2 linked regions of the Daphnia pulex genome follow. The protein of the gene in region 2 binds, or shares a complex with, the protein of the main gene of each other region. Links are inferred from orthologs where the notes say so. Each region holds a gene or a part of one and is shown on either strand. Other genes may lie near its edges.

Evidence for each region.
Region 1: vacuolar protein sorting-associated protein 8 homolog (region 2) and transforming growth factor-beta receptor-associated protein 1-like share a complex: the UniProt entries of both Homo sapiens proteins name them as parts of the putative class C core vacuole/endosome tethering (CORVET) complex. The link is inferred for Daphnia pulex from reciprocal best matches to the Homo sapiens genes VPS8 and TGFBRAP1.

Annotation. Positions count from the first base shown.
Region 1 is NC_060020.1:7,293,250-7,297,179, forward strand, and holds the start of transforming growth factor-beta receptor-associated protein 1-like, read right to left. Parts: upstream 2,712-3,930; 5' UTR 2,656-2,711; coding exon 2,578-2,655; intron 2,496-2,577; coding exon 2,443-2,495; intron 2,367-2,442; coding exon 1,859-2,366; intron 1,799-1,858; coding exon 1,638-1,798; intron 1,572-1,637; coding exon 1,238-1,571; intron 1,167-1,237; coding exon 1,044-1,166; intron 977-1,043; coding exon 711-976; intron 650-710; coding exon 205-649; intron 151-204; coding exon 1-150. Other genes in the region: group XIIA secretory phospholipase A2-like, read left to right, coding at 3,193-3,421, 3,499-3,566, 3,642-3,906. UniProt on the Homo sapiens protein: Plays a role in the TGF-beta/activin signaling pathway. It associates with inactive heteromeric TGF-beta and activin receptor complexes, mainly through the type II receptor, and is released upon activation of signaling.
Region 2 is NC_060022.1:5,734,101-5,737,550, forward strand, and holds the end of vacuolar protein sorting-associated protein 8 homolog, read right to left. Parts: coding exon 3,323-3,450; intron 3,254-3,322; coding exon 2,901-3,253; intron 2,833-2,900; coding exon 2,570-2,832; intron 2,499-2,569; coding exon 2,181-2,498; intron 2,093-2,180; coding exon 1,626-2,092; intron 1,570-1,625; coding exon 1,435-1,569; intron 1,365-1,434; coding exon 1,054-1,364; intron 998-1,053; coding exon 899-997; 3' UTR 807-898; downstream 1-806. UniProt on the Homo sapiens protein: Plays a role in vesicle-mediated protein trafficking of the endocytic membrane transport pathway.

The sequences.
Region 1 (3,930 bases), on a different chromosome or scaffold from region 2:
AACGTCAAACTGATGTGGCCGGCGACGCAATAAATCTGCCACACGGTCAAACATATGAACGTTCGCTTCAGTCACACAGGCAGCCAACAGGGCATTCCAAGCTTTTGGATCATCTAGACATGCACAATATTCCTCAGCAGCATCAAAATCCTGATAAAGATTGATTAAATTACATTATTTGCTTTATATTAAGAGGTTAACTACCTTAAGATAGTTGATAAAGGTATTAATAGCAGTGGAATGTTGACCAAGTCTTCCACAAACGATTGCGTGCTCATGTGGAAAGCCAGGCGTATCAAGTATTTCCAACAGTTTAACTAGTTCAAGTTTTTGAGAAGTTCTAAGAAGACTTCGTAGTTTGTTAATTGTCATTCGATGGCCTGGGCTATTGCGGTTCAGATCGGAGCGTTTGATGTCATCTATATACATCATAGCTAGTTGAGTGTGAACCGACTCCTCGTCGATTTTCTTCTCGATCAAGAATTCGAGGAAAATTCTTAAACTTTTGGGATAGTTGCGTAAATAATCTATTACAGCTCGCGGCTTAACGGCTGGTATCTTTTCTGAAGTAAATATTTTAGCGCCCATCTCTTCATCCCTCTTTAAGATTTCTCCACTAAAGCGCCAAATCAGTGAGATGTCTCCACACCTAAGTAGAAATCGCAAAAACTTATGAAAATGATTTACAAACAACTTTAAAGAATTCATACTTAGTCAGCTGCTCGGCCACATGAGGGTATCCTAAAAAATGCACGTCTTCAATGTCCGACTTCATCAATCGATCCCAAATGCAAAAGGCTTCCTCCCATTTTTGTTTAGAAATATAGTAGGTCGCTAAGCAATGGAACCTTTGAAAAGTTTTCAAGCAGTCGCATGTTTCACTTGAGTCGGCTTGGCAGTCTACGATGAAATCCATCAACTGCACTCCTTCGTCGTCATTCCTTGCTAAATACTTGAGAAGTGCCAAATCGACTGCCTAAAAAATTTTTACATCAAATTTAGATGCGATGACACGAAAAACTACGGAAACACAACTAGCATACCATCCTCTGATCTGGCGTCAAGCACTTGAGTCTCCATCGCTGAAGAAAATCGAGGAAAACCACTAAAGAACTGTTGCGCATTTCTTCTTCTGGGAACATTTGTTCAAGGTCCAAGTCAATCACCTAAATAGTTGCACAAGTTATTTAATATGCTATGCATGTACATTGTACACAAATGTAAAAAACAAACAGACCTTTCGAGGATCAATGTTGCATGTTTCAAACAATTCCATTGCATCCAAAAAGCGTCCAGAAGAAAATCGTAGCAAAGCCACTTTTTCTTCAAGATCCTTAATCATGAGTTTATGCTGTTCTCTATCGTTAGAAGAGATATGGGCATTAGCAGCTAATACGAGGGCCTCTTCTATGCGATTGTCAGCAAGTAATTTCTCTAATTGCGTCTCCCAAGAAATAGGAAGTAGAGCAAACAAGTCAATCAGTGTCGAGGCAAAGATTCGACCATCACCATTTACTATAGACCGAACATTGTCAATAGCTATCGTTTGTTTGCATTGCTGATCAATAATGCTGTAATTATGAAATTTACAAATAAAATTATCAAATCAGATTGAATTTTTTTTTTTCTTCAAATACCTGTAAAAACAGATTCCTTGTCTACACACTGCAATTATGTATGGGTGATGAAAGGCTAAAGCTGAGACTTGACTGGAAAAATTTATTGGAGGTTTATCTGAAAAACCTTGTGACAACACAAATACTCCTAATCCACCAGGTCCACTCAATAAAAATTCTCCCTATAATTAGGAGAAAAGTTAAAACAGGTGCAATATTTTGCAACATTTAAATTTAAACACCTTTGAGACTCTGTGAATGATGAGTGGTTGCTGTGGGTTGTCTACAGCAAATAGCTGTTGAATCTCTCCAGAAAGAATATCCAGCATGCAATATTCAAAGCCCATAGCAAAACAAATGTGAGCTCCATCCATCACCAGTGTTGAAGGTGTTAAGCTAGTTGAGACTTCTTTAATTATTTTAACATGCTCATCACTAAGGTGAATATACAATATTTTTTTCTTGGACCCAGCACAAATCTCCACTGTGAATGGATCTTCATTGAGTGGATTCTCATTAAGATGGAAAGAAGTGATGGATTTGAACTTTAATGTTCTGACTAGAGCTAAAGTTTCCAAATCAAGCACAGTCAAGGTTTCATTAGAAAGCACAAGCAGCTGTGTCAAGGCTGATATGGCTTTCATCTGTACTATAGGACTGGTAGTTGAGTAGCAGTGAGTGGCTTTGTTGATAATTACTGTTTGTTCAGGTAAGATTGAAGATTTCTTGAAGCTACACCTCAGTAAGTTTCTGTGATACAATAATTCGAAATTTTTATTACATTCAATGGTATAAAAAAGGGAAGCCAACAGTATAGCAAATTTACCCTTCTTTGCACCCTAGATATAAGAAATCGCCACATATTTCCAGGCAGGTTATCTAAATGACATTTTATTCATTAATGTCTTTGAAAAATCATATTTATACATACAACAAGAATATTTTAGATACAAAGACTTACATTTGTAGAAGGAGATCCATCAATGAAGAGATTGGGTAAATTACCAGCAAATATGATGTCAAATGCCTGTGCACTCATTTTAAGATTGCTCAAATTAATGAGATCAAACAAATGGTAGCAGCTGAAGCGTTGTGTTACTAATTATATGTACTCTTTAGTTAAATATCGTGTACACAAATGGACACAAATCCAATAAAAACTAAAAAAAAATCTTACGTCAAAACAAACCCCACTAATCGATATAGAAAGTTTATCGATTCAATAAGGAAAATCAAATCCGATTTCGATTTGAAATTACGTGGGCATTCAAACTACGCTATATTTTCGTAGTATCCAATTTGTTTATATTTATGACCAATGGCCGCGATTATAACTTAAAAAACAAATTTATTTCGTAATTCAACGTAATATAAAAGGTATCGTATCGAGATATCAATATATGTATCGCGTGTTGCAATTGCAAATCCCTTCTATCAATATATAGGGAAGGTTCGAAGGGGCGGGCGGAGTGCACCGTTTACTTCTTAGTGAAATAAAATACCGGACTGTAGTTGTGTAACCTGCAAATTGTCTGGAATTCTCTCAGAGTTATCGTCCCATATCGGACGATGTACGATGAAGAATTCACATGTAGCCATCATACTAGTAACTTTATTTTTCCTGGATGGTTGGTGGACCGGAATACTTAGATGGATTATCTTCAAAATGATGTCTACTGGAATTATTGGTGCTACTTTCAGTACTCTTGTAGATTTTTGCGCTTATCACCCAAAGATCTGGGAATCCTCAATCAATCTTTTGTCACAGCCTTCCAGTTCTGAATTGAAGTTTGATTGCCCACCTGGTTAAGTATACAATATTCTGACCCCCTTGCAGTTTACTAATAAATCAATAATTAAATGTATACCTACATTCTTGCAGGATTTATAGCAGCGCCAAACCAAAGTCATTTCCCGACTAGTAATGGCTGTGGAGCTGATGGACTCAAAGTAACGATACAAATAAAATCAGCCCAGAATTTTCTTTTATCTATTTTCCGCTATTTTTTTCTTTATATAATGTAGATAGACGTTGAATGTTTGCCATATAAAGACCAAGAGCTATGCTGCAACACTCACGATATGTGTTACGATAAATGCCACATCATTTCGTCAATGGAAGCTGACGTGCACCGAGGCCAATGCGATAAAGAATTTAAAAACTGTTTGATAAAAATTTGTTCATTTAAAAGCTGGCAGCGGTACTTGATTTGCCCATTTCGCATCGTACTTACTAATAAATTCTGGAATGAGAACTGCGAGCAGCCTTTAATCGATGATCGGGAGAAAAGTGAGTTATTACTTTACCAAATAT
Region 2 (3,450 bases):
ACCGTGAAAGATGTGAAGTGTGATAATTAGAAATGTTGTTTTCGATGTTCGGAGCGATCCTCGTTGTTGACTTGTTGCGAGGTGCTGTACGACTGCCTTACCTCTTGGATTCTTCAGCCCATAATATTTGAGTTAAACAAGGACACGACCTTGACAAATCAAGCCTTGAAGAAGGATTATCACTTTACAAACTGACGGTGTATAATTCTTAAAATCCCGGTGGAGTAAAGGTATGACTAGCAGAAAGATTTCAGCAGTGGGTTACAGGTGCACCGTTGTTTTTTCTTCTAACTCCCTTAAGATAACATTACATTAAAAATAGAGAAAAATGGAATGGACTGTATTATTACTTTGCTCATAAACAGAGGGGGACCATATAGCGTGATGGAACTTGTAAATTGTTCGTGTCACACTGTCACCAACTCAGCAACTCAGCATAAACCGTCCAACCATCACAAACAGATATTGATTATATCGCAAAGAAACTTATGACCAGATTCACATAAAAGTTAATTATTATGAATTTTCATTGATTGGGGTGACAGACCTCAAATTAAACCTTGAAGGATTTTTAATGGGGCTAAGTGATTGTCGGATCATTCCAACCAACTTATGGAAACATGTTGGATCATTTTGGATGACAGGCCAGACAATTTTAGCCAACTAATGTCTAAATCTGAATAAATGCCTTTTTTTGCAATCATCAAGTGATGGGCGCTGTACAGTTATTGTATAAACGGGAAAATATACGAGAAACGTTCTCTTTCCTTCTAGGATTGTGAATGAACCCAACAAGAAATTATACGTAACACGCACATTCAAGTCGTATTTGCAATAATAAGTCAACAATTTGAATAGTTTTATCGAAAAAGTTTCATACTGGATAAATATTTGGGTATCACTCGAATAGGTTCTGTAATGCAGAGGACAATCCGATTCTTGCCTTGTAGATCGAATCCAGCTGAGCAGGTGACAACTGAGGAACTGGCAACTGCTCCTGGAAAATGACAAAGAGTTAGAAAAATAACAATTACATTCAACAAAACTCTTTACTTGATTAGGGACAGTAGAATCATCTTGCTCTGGCTCTGCAATGATCGGTGTTGGCTGACAACGGATACATTGCTTGATTTCCCCTCGTAAGCAGCTGCTATGGAAAGCGTGACGACATTGGAATGCAGTAATGGATGGATTCCGGCCGTTTTGAAGCAGACGATTACAGCTGCTGCAGCGGGACGCACGCAACGCAATACCTTTCCGTGACTGGCGGTAGCGCTGAGACAGTAAACTGTGTACATCCCCTTGAAGCAGTCGCGTGCTGATCCGTAGCAATGTTGTCTCGTACGTGTAGTTATCCAAAAGACCTGTTAATAAATGAATCATTATATTAAAAAAACTTTACCTCAATGAATTAGATTTTTTTTTTTGTGTTACCCATTATAAGTTGGCGAAGATCCCCTAAAGTGCCTCCTGTTGTTTCGGGATCCTCAATCAAACGAGGTAACACTTTAGTTAAGCTTATTTGACCCTGGATGCTTGTCACGACTTTTTGAGTAACTTCTCTCAAACCTTAAAATCGTTAATTGTTAACGGACGGCCTTTTTTTAAATAAAAATTTCCAAAACCTGAGATGATGGAAGCGGAAGCATCCGGATTTCCCTTCAAGCTTCTTTGCGGAAGAAGCAACTCGTCGAGAAGGGTTAACCAAACCCTTTCGCGTTCCTTTTCTGTTAAAGAACTTGCTTGTCGCTGACAAAAATCAATTACTGATTGAGAAGCAGCCTCGAAGTCTTGCCAACCCTCTGTTTCAACAAAGAGTTGTTTAATGGAACCTTGAAGCTGGCCGAGTAGTAAATCGTAAGCGGCTGTTATCTCTCCTTGACGTTCAAGAATTGCCGCCTCAGCTTCGACAACGGCAAACTTGCGACAGATTTCTAACAAACGCGGCAGATGTGGGATATCGGCTAGTTGAACGTAAGACGTAAGTCGCTCCGGCTCTAGCTCCGCCATAAGTTCAGCAAATTGCTCAATACAATGACCGTCATCATCGATCAAAACAGCAGTATTGGTTGCCCCATCTATATCTTGAGTCCTATTTCAACGGAGGTAAGAGAACATCGTCTTTTAAAATTTGAAGCATCAATGTAAAATAAGTCGATAAAAATTAAGTTAAAACTCACGCCAAATCAAGAATAGCTTCAAGAAAACGATATCGTTCATTTGGAAAAGGTATCAGGGCAGTGACCGCCTCATCAATTAATGCAGGTTTGTTAACAGCCAAAAAGACGGCCAATGAAGTTGCGTTTAGTTGGACTAGCAGTTGGATATGTTTCAAAATCAATCGTTCCATCAGTTGGACATTGGATGCAACAGATTCAGTGAAAACGTTCCGCAGGAAGTGAAGAATGTCGCCGTGGCGAGAGGTATCGTCAATGTAGCACTGGAACACATTTTCCCAATCTTGGCGCTGCTCGTAGATATACTCGCATACACGATAACTAATAAAAAAGTATTATAAATTGAATGTGAAAATGGTTTCAAATTGATTTTTGATTTTAAATGATATTACAATTTAGCGGATTGAGCTTGTTCAAGTAGCTTTTCTTCATCTTCTGTTCCCAATGATAGCTGGCCTTTAATCTGAAGAAGTTGAAGCAGTGCTTGTTGCCTTTCTTCGAATCTACTCTGAACTCGAGTTTCTTTAGAAGACAAAGAACAGACCAAATCTACAAGCTGCTGAAAAAGACCACGTTCCAAATGAATAGAGTCGTGGCGAGGTGAGCGACTTATTTGACGAGCAATGAATGTGAAAAGAGAGCAAATCTGATCCGGCTGTAACAATAATTATAAACAAGTTACAAACAAGTTAGAATTACTATTAGGCAGAAAAAGATGTTTACCGAAAACTGAGACGAGTTGATCATAATTTCAACCAGAATGTCTATTACTCTCTGCTGGCGTCTTGCTCCCATCTCGCCAATGAATTCAGATTCTTCAAAAGCTAATGAAAGAGCATTGAGTAATTCTTGGGTATTAAACTCTAGTAGAGTGCGCAGGAATGGATATGGAGGCTCATCCTCCGAAGCTCGTTTACTGTGCAGGCACGTCAGACTAGTTAACACTTGATGTTTGACTTTAACACGGGAATCTTCGTCAATTTCTCCAACGGGATAAGCCCTGCCAGCCAAACAACATGAGATGTAGACCAGGATGACGTGGCCCAATTTGAGATCTTGTTCAGAATACGGCGGACCTAAGGGTATACGGTACATGGAATGGTTAACTAGTTAGTTTTATGGAATCATGTTATATAATGCTGAACCTAATTTGACTGCTCCTTGCAACTGTTTCATCAGATCTTCCAGCGGACTGACGTAATCCTGAAGCGCCCGTGTATGCACGTAAAGGTAAGCGTGACACAACCCCTGGTTATGCGACAACGTCAGAATC